Linked DNA regions of Astyanax mexicanus. The protein of the gene in region 2 binds, or shares a complex with, the protein of the main gene of each other region. Links are inferred from orthologs where the notes say so. Each region holds a gene or a part of one and is shown on either strand. Other genes may lie near its edges. The genes, in order: bbip1 and bbs4.

The links.
Region 1: the proteins of bbs4 (region 2) and bbip1 are in contact, whole or in part, in a cryo-EM structure (PDB 6VBV), measured with the Bos taurus proteins. The link is inferred for Astyanax mexicanus from reciprocal best matches to the Homo sapiens genes BBS4 and BBIP1. Residues at the interface, in NP_001069424.1 of Bos taurus: Leu210, Leu213, Tyr236, Leu240, Ala241, Ser244, Gln247, Thr248, Ser269, Pro271, Asn274, Asn275, Met278, Phe281, Gly282, Lys284, Tyr298, Leu299, Pro301, Leu302, Asp303, Trp304, Lys305, Ile306, Tyr308, Asn309, Leu312, Leu315, Thr316, Gln318; in XP_003587939.1 of Bos taurus: Met7, Phe8, Arg9, Glu10, Val11, Leu12, Pro13, Lys14, Gln15, Gly16, Gln17, Leu18, Tyr19, Val20, Glu21, Asp22, Leu28, Lys30, Pro31.

The regions. Positions count from the first base shown.
Region 1 is NC_064430.1:22,198,387-22,206,105, forward strand, and holds the start of bbip1 (BBSome-interacting protein 1), read right to left. Parts: upstream 3,258-7,719; 5' UTR 3,179-3,257; intron 1,827-3,178; 5' UTR 1,822-1,826; coding exon 1,776-1,821; intron 455-1,775; coding exon 273-454; 3' UTR 1-272.
Region 2 is NC_064409.1:48,864,342-48,872,597, forward strand, and holds the start of bbs4 (Bardet-Biedl syndrome 4 protein), read right to left. Parts: upstream 3,110-8,256; 5' UTR 3,037-3,109; coding exon 3,010-3,036; intron 1,402-3,009; coding exon 1,350-1,401; intron 1-1,349.

The DNA.
Region 1 (7,719 bases), on a different chromosome or scaffold from region 2:
GTCTACTGGCTAATCCTACTGTGTTTTCTGTCTAGGGTTCTCAACCAGTAGATCAAAATGTTGTTTCTTTGACTGAAGAAACCTGCCACTGCCAGGGTGGTTCAACATTCTGTGTGTTTATGTGGTTGTTTTTCACATAAAAAAACAAAGTCCAGTCAAACACACCTTTAGCGAGTGGGCGGGGCTAAATTGGTGTAAGCTAAGCAGGTTGTGATACGAGGTTGTGATGAAGGTGTGCTCCTCACACTCCTGTGCTGCACCTCCTCATGGTGCTACTGCTCCGGCTCGGGCTGGTTCTGCTGCCGCTGCTCCCTGAGCGCCACCTCCTGCTGCTTTATCACCTCCTGCGCCTCCTGCTGCATCTTCTCCAGCTTCTCCAGAGTCACCGACTTCAGGGGCAGGAGCTTGGGTTTGCACAGGACCATGGTGGGAACATCCTCCATGGACAACTGGCCTGAACAGACGATAAAAAAACAGAAAACCAATATACCCAGAATATATGATTTAATCAACTCAAAATAACACAAATATAATTTAATCAGTCAGGCCTGGTTTAATGTTCAGGAATAACTACAAGACTAATGCTTAAATATATTTTAAGAATACACTACTGCAACAAAATGAAAATGACATTTTACTATTGCATATATATATGATATGTCACACCCCTAACAGAGATATAAACAAAACAAGAATTTTATCAGATCTGTAACAGAAGTCAATGATCCAGAATTATTAGTCATGATAATAATAATAATAATAATAATAATAATAATAATAATAATAATAATAATAATAATAATAAAGCACTCCAAATATCTCCATATATCTAGGATTAAAGTAAAATAAATAATACTGGACAGATATAATCTGTCTCTAGTAGATATATAGTGGGAAATGAAAACAGTGTGAATTTTTCTTTTGATAAAAAGTTAAAAAAAAAAAATAAAAAAAGTACAACACTGATGTGATAATTAGTGCTGTGCGATATGATGATAAATATTGTGGGGAGGATAGAAAAGTGTTTATCGTGCTACTTATCTTCTATCATCTCTATCATTTCTACAGTAATTTCATCAATTACTCATGCAAATATATAAAGTAGGCTATGTTGAAATGTATTGGCGTGGTCACTTTGCATAAACTCGGTTTTTATAAGTGATAATAAAGTAATCTTTGCAAAAAAAAAAAAGCTTCATAATGTGGTTTTGCGACATGACGCTGCTTTACGTTATTTAAGGGTCATGCACGGACATGCCGGTTTACGACGTGCTTTATGTTATTAAACTCATGAGAGCTGAACAATGGAGATGCATTGTTCTTTTAAAAAAAAATTGGCTACTGCATCTACTTCATCTGTTTGCACTAAAAGGTAGTAATTCTCATTTGTGAAAGTTTGGTTTAATGTAACTTTGAAATAAAATTAGAAAAAAGTAAGCAATGATATTGTTTTGTCACATTTTTCAAAGAATAACTGAAAACATACTAAAATGTGGTACATCATTATATAAATCGTTATCGTGATATAAAAAAAAAATCGCTCAGCACTAGGCGGGTGATATGAAACGATATTTCAGGGTATGATATCGTTCACCATATTCAAAAATGTTGGCAATGTTATTGCGTACGATAATGTATGGGACAGTTTTTTTGCTTCAGTGTCTCAAAATAACTGTATATTTGATTATGTTTAGATAAACAGAGGTGTTTGATTACAGGCTATTTATTTAGACCTGTATTCTCTCAGTAAATCAGGTATGGGCGCTCCATCTCACCTTGTTTGGGCAGAACCTCCCTGAACATTGACTTGACCTCAGGCATCGCACCTCGTGTACAAAACAACAAAATAAAAGTTAGTCACAAGCAGTCTGAGTGGAAACGTTTATTTTCCCCACTAGTTAAAGCCTTTTAAGAGCCAACCCTACCCGACCTGTATATAATCTCTTCAGCTAGTGAACAGCACACATCATGCTGACTGGATGCTGAAAAGACGGAAACTCTATCCAATGAAAATGCTATGTTCAAAATAGGAAATCTGAACTGAAACGCCTTAAAATTCAGATTTCCATCTCAGAATGTGGGGAAAGTCTCACCATTAAATCAGTTGTGCACACATTACTGTCCAACTTTTATTTGTAGACATGTTTATATGTTGTTTGGATGTGCAAATAATGTACAATGTGCTGTTAACAGGCATTACCTGTAGAACTGTTCTGTTTATTTTAAAACTACTGACAACATTTCTCCCAAATTAAAAAATTAAAATAGTAACAGCATTTACAATACAATTGCAATACAATTCTAATATTTTAACTCAGAAACATCTGGAATATGGAAAGATGGATGATCACAAAACATCAATCAAAGCTGAACTGCTTGAATATTTGCCAGTAGTTTAATAAGCATAAAATTACTCAAAAGCAGTGTGTAAGACTGGTGGAGGAGAGCATGATGCCAAGATTATTCTTTATTATTTGAAGTCTAACAGCAGTAACGTTACTGTTTTTTTCTCTCGTTATTTCAGCCATTTCTCCTTTTCTGCAAATAAATGCTCAAAATGACAAAATTTTTATTTGGACTTTGGGAGAAATGTTGTCTGTAGTTTATCGAATAAAAACAATTATGTTGATTTTACTCAAACATGAACCCATAAACAGTACAATCAGAGAAACTGATCATATATAAGTGGTCTCATTTTTTTACGGAGTGGTATATAAAAATATTGCACATATACACACATACGTATATATACACTTACACATTATCATTATATTTATATTAACATTACAATAAACTCGTTCGACGCAATAAATCCTGGAACAAATTATAATCAATTAAAAAGTATAATAACCCATGCCTGTTTGGATGCTTTATTATATGATAAATATGGTATATTAGTACGAGCTTTATTAATAAATCGTATCACAGCGGATTTCATTAATAAAATAGAGATTTAAAAACAGCTGATCTACAGGATCGCTTTAATCCCCACAGTAACCCGAGCTCTCCTACACCCTCTCTCTGTTTAAACGCGCTGTAAAACACACTAATACCGGCACCAGAACACCTATAAACAGCTATTAACAATTATACACCGATTTAAACAGTTATAAACAGATTTAAACCGCTATAAACAGTATAAATATTATAAAATAACCGAATTTCTGACTCAGTTTACCTTCAGCCGCGCTGATCTGCTCTCCTGTCTCTCCTTCTGCTCTCAGATCAGCTGCAGTCTGAGTCAGTGACCCGCTCCCGCCCCCCACCGGCCGAACCTGCTCATTACAGCTCATTAACGGTTTTCGGCACATTTGGTTGAAAAAATAAAGAGGCTGTTTTTTTCTGGATATCCTCACCTTTATCAACCTCATAATAACAATAAATCTTCATTATAATCATGTTTTGTTTTTTTGGGATGGAATATTGTAACAGTGCTCGAGCTCTTTTGTTATTAAATGCTGAAAGCAGGGTTCACTCCTACTGTCATCAACAGCATTACTTTAACTGCTTAAAATACAAATATTTTTTCCCTAATCATATTACTGGATGTATTTTAGTGTTTGAGTTATTTTAAAGAAATATCAGCATTATATAGTTAAAATTAAATTATATTCGCGGTGTCAATCACTTAAAAATTAGTTAATTATTGTGAGAGAACAGTAATAATAGTGTAGTGTAGTTTAGGTCTGGCATATAGCCTATCATAACACATCAAATCACAGCCTATAATAGCACATTACATTATAGCTTATCATATCACATCATTACACATTACATCATATCTTATCACATCACATCATAACACATCATTGCACATTACATCATAGCTTATCACATCACATCATAACACATTACATCATATCTTATCACATCACATCATAACACATCATAGCACATTACATCATAGCTTATCACATCACATCATAACACATTACTTCATATCTTAACACATCACATCATAACACATCATAGCTTATCACATCACATCATAACACATCAAATCACAGCCCATCATAGCACATTACATCATAGCTCATCACATCACATCATAGCACATCACAGCCCAGTTCTATAAATTTGATTATAATTCTAGGTAAATATTATATACACAAGATGAAATTTAATATCCTCATACAAATGTTTTCTTTATACACATCTAAATAATTATTTAAACAGTTCAGTAAATTTGTACAAGCTAAAATAAGGCATAATGTTATAATAATGAACTTAAACCAGCTATTGATTCCAATGATTTACTTACTTTTTTAACTACCACTTTGAGTGTTGAATAAGGGTGTGTAAAATATATTAAAAAAAAACTATACATTACTCTTGGCTTGGATGAAAAGCATTTCACATTTTATATCAGAATTACGCAGAAAACAATGAAAAGGGTTCACATACATTTTAAGTGTATACTGTGCAATGAGTGCATAATATCTCATGTGTGCATTGTAAGTGTGTAATAGTGTGTGTACAGTAAGTGTTTAGTAATGTGTGTGTATAGTAAGTGTTTTTAGTAATGTGTGTATAGTAATGTATAGTAATGTGTGTATAGTAAGCAAGTGTATAGTAATGTGTTTATAGTAATGTGAGTATAGTAAGTGTACAGTCATATGTGTATAGTAATGTGTGTAGTAATAAGTGTGTAACAGTAAAGTGTGTAGTTATGTGTATAGTAATGTGTGTATAGTAATGTGAGTATAGTAAGTGTACAGTCATATGTGTATAGTAATGTGTGTAGTAATAAGTGTGTAACAGTAATGTGTGTAGTTATTTGTGTAGTAATGTGTGTATAGTAAGGGTCTATAGTAATGTGTGTAGTAGTGTGTATAATAATGTGTGTATAGTAATGTGTGTATAGAAAGTAAGTGTGGTAGTGTGTATAGTAAGTGTGTATAGTAATGTGTGTATAGTAAGTGTGTGTATGGTATGTGTGTATAATAAGTGTGTAGTAGTGTGTATAGTAATGTGTGTAGTAATATGTGTATAGTAAGTGTGTAGTAGTGTGTGTGTATAGTATGTGTGTGTGTATTACGGTTTTAGGGGTCCGTATTCACGACGTCTCGCGATGTGTCGGGCAGCAGCGCGTGCGTGTGTTTCGGTGCGTGTGACGCAGGCAGGGCGGCAGGGGCGGGTCGCGCGCCGCAGCGGCAGCAGCAGCAGCACGAGCGGCGGCGGAGCGGAGAGAAGGAGGAGGAGGAGGCGGTGGAGGAGGAGGAAGCAGCAGCGGGGATGGCGGAGCAGCAACACCTCGGAAGGTAACGCCGCCGATCGCGGGGCTTTACGGGGGTTTGACGGCTGTCGGTCGGTCGGGGACTTGCTGACATACAGTAGCGGGGGAGAAGCGGGTAACCGAACCACCCGCCGCTCGCTGGGGCTCTCCGTGACCGCGGATCGGAGGGCTCTTTTGTTCAGCCCCGGAATGGCCGCTCGTATGTGTGTGTGTGTGTGTGTGTGTGTATGTTGGTATTTATCACATTGTTGGCACAACACTCATCTGTTTACACATCATCAGACCCTATTGCGGTATGGGGACCAGCAGAAATCAGCGTAATGATTCAGGGAAATGCGTTAAAATAAACACATACAGGAGCTACTCTGATTATATGAATATATATCTATGTGGTTTTAAGCTTAGGCCCATACATACCACATGTCTACTAGTCAGATTGTCAGAGAGAGTGTGTGTGTGTGTGTGTGTGTGTGTGTGTGTGTGTGTGTGTGTGTGTGTGTGTGTGTGTGTGTGTGTGTGTGTGTATAGAAAGAGAGAGAAAGAAAGTGTTTTTACCGAGCTCGGCTCGATCACTCAAAGTACTCATCTAAAGCAAGCAAACGAGAGAAAACGGGCAGGAAATACGAGGTTTAGCTGCAGCTTATTATATAGTTCTCTGGAACTGTTGCTCCCTGCCAGCGGGAATAGCTGAATACCGTGGCCGGTGTTGTGTCGAGTTGTGCTACCCATCGAAATGTGCTTATCAACACCAGTGCGCATGCGCTGACCCAAATTTATTTTATGCGTGTTTTATGGTAGTTCTACTAAATTTTACTTGGGTGCATTCAACAACACGAGCCCTCCTTTATCCTTATGTCATTTTTTATCTAAGTGTTACAAATGTGTAAATGACAGTTAATAAAAATAATAATAATTGTTTATTATTATTATTATTATTATTACTAACGTTATATAATTAATAACAATGATCATATTAAGTAGGTTTATTGTCAATACTGCATATCGTTGTATACAGGATATACAGAGAATTGAAATTGCTGTTACAGCAAGTAACGTTACTGTAATAATAAGATTCTAAATATAAAAGAATTAGAGACACAAAAAGTACAATACAACAAGGATAGATATAGACATACGTAAGAGATACAATACAATAGTACAACAATGATGAGGGGGAGTTAAAGATGGAATGGCAGTAATAATAAGTGAGCAATTAAAAATACAAAAAAAGGTTATCACTCATATTAACCATTAACTGTATCCTGGTATATATATTCAGGCTTTCCAAATATCCTACCGACAGTATTTTAAAATATGGTGCTTTTTTCGACATTTTTTACGTTTAAACACACACTAGAGTAGCAGAGTTTGACAGGGTAGCACGACTCGACAGAACACCGACGCTGGCGCCGCCTCTCCCGGCCTGGGCTGCGCTCTGCCCCCGCCGCGGCTGGAGCGCTGGTTGGTGGGTGACAGCTGCTGCGGGAGAGAGAGCGAGGCCCTGCGGGAGAGACCCGGAGCCTCTCAGGCTTGTGAGTGCGAGCTTCCCCCGCTGTGACACGAACTATACAGCGGTATAACAGCAAGGTACGCGCATTATTAATAGTTAATGTTCTAAATAATAAACACAAGTATAAGAATTTTAATTTCTACTGATTTAAAGCTCGTTTTTCGACCGTTTTTCCTTCACCGAGTTCACATTAGCATCCAAGCTAACGCTAAAGAAATACCTAACGCTAGTTAGCTTAGCTTAGCTAGGTGGGCTAGGCTAAAAAGGGTGGCTAACGTTAGTGTACTGGCCGAGTTATATAGTTAACTAGCTAACTCGCTAGCTTACCAGCTGTACTATCTAGATAAATCTCTAATTTATTTTAAAGTAAATCGTGTGCGCAGGGTTAAGGCAACGTTAAACTAGAATTCAGTGGAAAATAGCTCGGAAAATAGCTAAGCTAATGATAGCTTAGGCTAAATAATAAGGGCTTCTTCTTTTAGTCGGTCAGCTAGCTTAGCTGAGCTAACTATCTAATTTAGCCAGCTAACGTTAGCTAGCTGCTGTATTGACTATTGACTATCAAAACAAGACATTTGGGTGACTTTCTCCCAATCTTCCCTCCTTAAAACAAAGCTAATGATTTTTTAATACACGTTCAAACCGTCTGTCAACATGAATTGTATCTTTTAGGCCATAAATGAGGTCGTCTTTTGGCTGAGGTTATTTTTTGAGAGCAAGGGAAGTAGCTTAGCTTAGCTAGTTAATAAAGTGACAGTCAGATCTGAAGCTGTAACCTGGGTTAGTTAGCTATAGCTCAATATATGATGTTTTTATTCCAGACCTCTGAAGGCCTCAGTGTGGACTTCTTTCTGACTCAACAGAACATTTCTGCTGCATTTCCAGATAAATCCGTGTGTTCAGGTGTTTTGTATTTGTGTCTTTTCTCTCAGTAATGTTCTCTCCCTCCCTTTTTGTGTGAGATCACCGTTCC
Region 2 (8,256 bases):
TGCGCATAACAGATCAGTCACACATGAGTAATACTTACAGAGCCAGACTAAAACACTCAAGACAGGGTGTTAACCCTTGAAATCTTTCTTGATAGATTTGCACCATAAAAAAGGGGGCCTTCTGTTCAGAGACATATTCAGCCTTTTGCCTCCAAAGTTCACTTCAGAGCATGCCTCATCTTCTAAAATATTAAGCGCCGACTTCAATAGACACAAAACAACAGGATTACTTAGCTCAGGGTTCAAGCTAAGTTCCACATTACTTAGTTTACACATAATCTGACGCAGTCTGACATGAATAAAGACATGCATGTTTTAGCGACTGCATTTTCTGACAGAAGGCACATTTTTCAGTGTCTCTGATAAGGAACACTCTGCCGCTGTGCTCCCTCCTCACTGCTGGAGACCATGTAAAGCTCCCCCATTCTAAACCCAACAGGCACCGCAACAAAGGAAGCATCTACAGTGAGGGGCTGCATCTGCATCTTACTTAGCTGGCTCATAAGGCTGCTGGCAAAATCTGATTTCAAGCAGTTCTATTCCTGGACAGACTTTTCTCCCTGAGCTGTAATCCTCTTCAAGGCTAATCGGAGACTGGAGAAGAAAACTCAGCCAATCAGCACCACCCACAGGAGGAAGGAGAGAATGGCAATTGAGACGAATTGGAGCAGGGACAAAGCTCTGAAACACTTTTTATACAAAAACCTTGCATCTTCAAATGACAAATTTACAAAAGTAGAAAAAAATAATCTCTCTTAAACTCTTAACGTGGAGGTCAATGAAAAAAATATTTTATTCCAAGTAATTGTGGAGCATTACTGTTGGTTAATTCCTCAGAAAGTTTTGATACAATGTAAACAACAACTGCAAGCGAAAAAAAAAATCTGCAAAAATTGAGGCATGCCAAGAATGAAATTCAATGAAAACAATGATATGCAAATGATATGCACATGAAATACAAAAAATAAGAATTAGTAGTAAATCTACCTGAAGTTTCATTACTATTAATCACACCAATAACTGCATAGTTTCTAGATGCAATGAAACGTATAAAACACATAACTGTTGCCACTACAGCCAAGAAGTCTATAATCTACCTATCAGCAAATCAATATCAAATATTTAATTAATATAATTTTGCGTCACGTCTAGTTTAGATCAAAGAATTTAATTAATCACATCATGAATCAAACACTTGTCACATTATTATAACTGTAATATCTTAATGTAAATAGAAGAGAATATGTCGCCGTAACATATATGGCCACTGTTTTAAGCCCTCTCTAATCTTCTTATAGGCTAAATACTAGATACTGGTGTTCAGCAGCTGTCTTTTTAATCTAACAAACCTTTTTTAAGACGAGGCTTCTTAGGGTCAGTGGCCACCGGCAGCGGAGCATCCTAAAACAAATAAATTCATACAAATTAATTTATCAAAATGTTCAGCATAAATGAATAACATAATACAATATTTCAATATTAAACAAATGCTAAACTTTTTGACTAATTTTACAGTGTGACTAGAGTACCATGTGATACTGTCAGATTATTTTCATGCACAAAGTAACCACTGTGTGAACAGAAAGACGATGTCATTATATATACACTGCATAGATACAAATAGGGATTAAAAATGGTATTAAATAATAGTTTATTTTGTTGGAGTAACTGTTTCTGCTCTCCATGGAAGGCATAATTCTGAAACATTGCCGGGAGGTTTTATTGTATTCAGCATTAGGTTAGTATTAGTAAGGCCCAGATGTTGATAAATTTCACCCATCTTATGCCTAACTGTCCAAATCAAGGCTTTTATTCCCCTCTAGCCCTCACATTGCACATTCTAATGACAGTAGACAAGCTGTGTATGCATTTCCAGCTTGTGTGAGCAATGGGTGTTTGTAACTTAAATAAGCTGAATGCAGTCATTAGAAGGAGTGTCCACAACCATTTGAACAAACAGCTCTGGAAAAAAATAAGAGACCATTTCAGTTTCTGAATCAGTTTCTTTAATTTTGCTATTTATAGGTATATGTTTGAGTAAAATGAACATTGTTTTTTTTCTATAAACTATGGACAAAATTTCTCCCAAATTCCAAATAAAAATATTATCATTTAGAGGATTTATTTGCAGAAAATGAGAAATGGCTGAAATAACAAAAAAGATGCAGAGCTTTCACCTCAAATAATGCAAGGAAAACAAGCTTATATTCATAAAGGTTTAAGAGTTCAGAAATCAATATTTGGTGGAATAACCCTGGTTTTTAATCACAGCTTTCATGCATCTTGGCATGTTCTCCTCCACCAGTCTTACACACTGCTTTTGGATAACTTTATGCCACCCCCGGTGCAAAAATGCAAGCAGTTCAGATTGGTTTGATGGGTTGTGATCATCCATCTTCCTCTTGATTATATTCCAGAGGTTTTCAATTTGGTAAAATCAAGTTTAAGTGGTCTTTTTTTTTGTACAGAGCTGTATAGTGTGGCTAATACCGTGAGCAGAGACAGGATGAATGAACTGACTGTCAGAAGGTGGGTAGCTACAGAAATAAGAGCTAACTAAAACTTTATTTTATGAAAGACTCGATATTTTAGTGTGTTCTCAATAGCCTACCAGCCCCTGCAGACGAGTAACAAGTACAGAAAGACTGAAATGAGCTTTACCACAAAAAACAGCCTAAACTGAGTTAACGGTAACGGTAGCATAAACACTAAAGCTTAGTTAGGCTTAGTTAGTGGCTGTATTTCAGACAGTCAGGCAGCTACAGGGGTTAAACAGTAGGTTATCTGAGACACTGTAGCTGTTGTTTAATGGGTTTAAATCGTATCATTAGCAGCGCTGCTGGCTAACAGACGCGCTTGATCTGCAGCTCCGCTGTTCAGACAGACCCTCCCAGCGAACCGCCCCGCTATATATATCCACTGCCCCGCTTCACCAACACACACTTTATACACAGCTACAGCTACAGAGTTTCACTGAGAGCCGCTGCAGCTCCATAGCCCCATTCTCACCGCTTTAACCGTCTCCTCATCAGCCATCCCTCCAGCTCCAGAAAACACACTTCCGGTTTCTACGCGGCCCCTGAAAACGCACGGCCGTTACCATAGTAACTAGTCCCGCCCCCATCCAAACGAGTCCAAAACGATTTTCTGTCAAAAGTCCCCCCTAAAACGTAATAAAACTCTGGTGATTAAATACTATGAACTAGTTTGATAATATATAGAGCTTAAAATAATTTAAAATCTACACATAAAATAATGTAGATAAAAGAAAAAGTATATATACTCATACATACCTGTCAAGTTTTGGACTTAAAAATAAGGGATTTTTTCCGCCGCCCCAACAGCCCAACCGAGGGCTAAAAATGTATATATATATATATATATATATATATATATATATATATATATATATATATATATATATATATGTATGTGTATATATATATATATATATATATATATATATATATATATATATATATATACACATATATATATATATACATATATACATATATATTTTTTTATTATTATTTAATAGATTTAAAATTGAAATTGAAGGGTGCACAAATTTACAAAAAGGACATGGATCAGATATATTCCATAAGTAAATAATAGTCCTAAGGGGCCTACACAATTAATAATCTTTCATTAATACTTCTTTCTATCATTCAGTCCACTCCTGATCAGTTCAGTTAATTTCAGCCCTCTCCACATTTTCTCTCTCTCTCTCCAGCTCAACCATCTCTTCTACCCCTTCTAAATAATACATTACACCACAATACTTGAGATTTAAACAAATTCTAACAAACCCTAAAACTAGCCCTGAACTAATAGAGTTTGGAAATTATATGTTTTGGCTGATCAGGCACATCAGGGCAGGGCATTATATGTATGTAGATTTTTCTCAAACCCTGAATATCTATCTAGCTAATTCTAAAGTTAAGCTAACTGAGTCACAAGCTGTATTTTATTAAACACACAATGGGTTGAATTTATGTTTTGATTCAGAGAAGAGTCTTTTTAACCAGCTATCAGAAACAATCTCATCACAGTTTACATGGTTAGTTACCTTTCTTTTAGAAAAATCTCCGTATATCCAGATTAGTTTTAACGACAGCTGCTCCGACTAGCTGCCTGAACTCACAGCGAGGGGAGGGGCGGGGCTGGCTCTGCCCGACACTAAACTGCGCTCCGCAAAACCAGCAATCTGATTGGCTGTTTCTCCTGAAAGGCGGGACTTTCTCCTTGAACCGGCAACACGATTGGTTAAGAGACACACAGTGCATTGTCGCCTGTGGCCTATATATTTTTTTTATTTAGTATAATACGGGAAATTTACGGGAAAATACTAATACGGGAGGACGACGGGAAAGAGGAGTAAAATACGGTAGTTTCCCGGCCAAAACGGGAGACTTGACAGGTATGTACTCATATAATGATGTATTGTTATAAAATAACTAAGTTCTGGAAGCAGGAACATGCCTGAAGAACCTCCCCATTCCAGTCTGACATCCTAAAAATTCCCTGGACCTCTGATATGCCATGGCAACTTTTCGCAAAAATTATTCAAATTGTCAACCATATAATTGTTTATATTTGCAGTTCACGTGCATGCACCAAATACTCTGCACTTTAGTATTTCGGTAGCTTTTTTCGCTCTTTTACATTGTTTTATTTACATTTTGATTTGTTGATATGTTATTATTATTCTTATTATTATTCTTATTCTTGTTTTGTAGCTGTTGGTACAAAATATTACAAAAAAGTTTAGATTTTTTTGCTCCTGCTAAATGTTTGAAACTGTTATACAGTGGTGCATAAAAGTTTGTGAATACCTTAGATTTTTTTTTCTTTTCAGCTACTGTATAATATTGAAGAAGTAAATACAGACCTCAGGCTCTTTCAGTTTAGTTTTTTTTTTTTAACTGAGACTGAAAAAATCACCATCAGGTGTCGCTGTTCAGCGCCGAGGCAAACAGTTATCACACACTTTCACTGTTGCAGCTGATATTATTACACCGTAGCATATTAGATATGTCGTTGTACAATGATATTTTGCATTCATATATAAAACCCCCTGTTGTCTTTGGGTGGAGTTTGTATTTTGTTGTCTTGAGTCACGTGACAGCTTAAGTTAGTCCTATATAACGCACAGTGTAAAACTCTTAAGACGTCGCATCTGATCCCCATGTATCGTTTATTTATTAATCTGTATATATCTGTCTATTACTGATGAGTTTACTTTATATTTTTATAGTCCATGAATTAACTAGCTATATTTGTATAGAGTACTTTATCATTTTATAGAGTTCATAAGTTTACCTAATATTTTTAGAGTTCATAATTGAATTATATCTTTTAAAAGTTCATAAGTTTACTTTATAATTTTTATAGAAATAAAGTTTCCTTACATTACACTTTCATTAATTATTTTTTTATAAGTTTAATTAACTTTTATAAGCTTAATTAGCTTAATTAAGACTTGTTACAAACCCATTTAAAAGTAAGTTTTTTGCATTGCTTAATCCTGTTTCTTATTACATTATGTTGTAAAAACTTTGAATCTTAAAGCTGCATTCTATGAATAAAAAGTGCTTTATAAATAAATAAATAAATAAATAGATAAATTATATTATTGTTATTACTCTAGTCACATATTCAAATATTATTTAGTTCTTTAAATTATTAACAGCATTCACACCAGTTTTTTAACTTTTGATTTAACTTTAAATGTACTTTATTAGATTTAAAGCTTTAAAAATATTAGCTTTTAAAATGTAATAGAATTACACAGTCTCAGAATTAGATTTGAATTCTCAAACGTTTAAATGTTCAAATAATCAGAAATAAGCATTCAAGAATGTTTTTATGAATCTTTAGGGTTCAAGCACCGAAGGTGCGTAGAACCCTATTGTTTTTGCTAAAATTTTTAGGGTTCAAGCACCGAAGGTGCGTAGAACCCTATTGTTTTTGCTAAGATTTTTCTTCTTCTTCTTCTTCTTATTATTATTATTATTATTATAATTATTATTATTATTCTTTTTCCTCTGAAAAAGCAGTTGTGCAGCCTAAACTGTAAGTCGTAGAGATATGAAACTTGGTAGGTAGATGTAGGATCAGTGCATCTCGGCGGACAACAAAAATGGCACCGATTGGTCAAGTGGTGGCTCTATAAACAAGGAAATTCATTTTTCACATTTTTCTCAATAACTCAAAAACCATAAGACCTACATTCACAATTCTTTTTTTGATGGATTCCTTGGGCCAATACCTACAATCATGCACTTCCGTCTATATAGATTTTTTGCTAATTTGCATAATATGCAAAACATACTTTTGCGAACTAGTCCTAGGTATTTTGACCAATCCTGACATGTTTGGTATCAAAATACTCAGGAGACCATGCTCTTCAATATTCATCAAAAATGTTGAAATTTGTACACAATATGGCCGTCATATGCAAATTAGCCCTTCCGGATATATGCCCTATTCACTCCAACAGTTAAATTTGGAGCACTGTTTCTCAGCAACCGTGCAACCTAGCAAGCTGAAAATTTGCATACAGAATATATCATATATCCTCTAAAGGATGGTCAAAGGGCAACTGAATCAATCAACATGGCTGAACACCATCAGCCAATCAGCATTCAGCAGACATTTTGGCAGGCTGAATGTTGAACAATCTGGATCACATTTGGCAGTTATTTTCAGGTGGAGACACTGTAGTGACCTGCACAGTCCTGAAACAATCCGGCCACTGGGGGACATAAACGAGTATATGTCAATCATGCTGTACTATTTTGACATCACATTATTTTTGCCATATTTAGTACAGTGGCTCTGACAAATTTGTCAATACAACTATGTTTAAAAAGTGCTTTGTTTATTCATAATTGCTAGTTGTTTGAAAATAGCTATATTGAAACTGGTCTCTGGATATTTGGCATATCACCTCCATTTCGGTTATGTTGCACACTGTAGAGTCTCTAGGTAAATGTTCATTAAAAACATTTGTGAAAATTTCACATACAATACTGTCCAGGCATCAAGCAATCTGTGCGTCCTTGGAATTTCTAACCTAAATTGCTGTAACTCTGCAGTATTTGCTGTAATCTCACAATGTTAAAGACCTCTGTACAAAATCACTCTGATGAAGCGCCATTTAATTCAGAACTAGATTTAGAATAACTTTGTAATTACATGTCATATCAGAACATGCACTCCTTTGTGCCTCTTCTCAACATTAATAACAGGTGAAAGACTTTTGATCATTTCTAAATGTGACAGTGTGTCTCCAATTATGCTAGACCTTCTTACACATCATCATCCTATGCTCTAGTAGGCACCATTGTGCCAGTTGGGGCTCGATGAAGTGCCATTTAATTCAGAACTAGATTTAGAATAACTTTGTAGTTACATGTCATGTCAGACAATGCACTCGTTTGTGTTAATTTAAACTTGTTTAGTCAAACATTTCAGCTTGTTTTGCAAAGGTCAAAAGGTCAATCTGAACACCACTTTGGGAACATTCTGGTTGAAGCCACCTGATCAATACCCATAACATGTAGACACCTTTTGACTAGTTCTAACTCACTTGATGAATATCCTACAAACTTCAATAGATTTGTATGTGAATTTAAGCACTGATCATGTTGAAAGGCCTCTGCTCAATATTAATAACAGGTGAAAAACTTTTGATAATTTCTAAATGTGACAGGGCATCTCCAATTACATTAGACCTTTTCACACATCACTATTCTATTGGTGCTTGAACCCGCAGATTGCCGCTTGCATATATTATTATTATTGTTATTATTATTATTATTGTCCCTTAGTTTAATTTTTCTCACTCTTATCACTCTGTAACACATTTCCCAAGATCTACTTTGTTGAAAACGTTATTACACATATAAAGAAATGTTAATTTTCACTTTAAAGAACTTTCTGTACATTTTATACAGTTTTCTGTGGTGTGGGGGGGGCGCCTTTTTGCATTATACACAGTACTGCCTGGTTAAGGTGGATGATAAAGTGGTTAAATAACACATTTTTAAAATGATGATTATATTATTACATTTTTAGTTCAAACATTCAGTTTTAAATAGTGTTGCAGCTGTTTAGCAGGTTAGCATTTAGCTTGGCACTAATTACCTGGCGCCCACTGTAGTTGGTATAGCATTAGCTTTTTGCCTCCTTTTTTAGCAGTTCCGATTCAATATATATGTCAGTATATTGCAGTACTGTAAGCAAGGC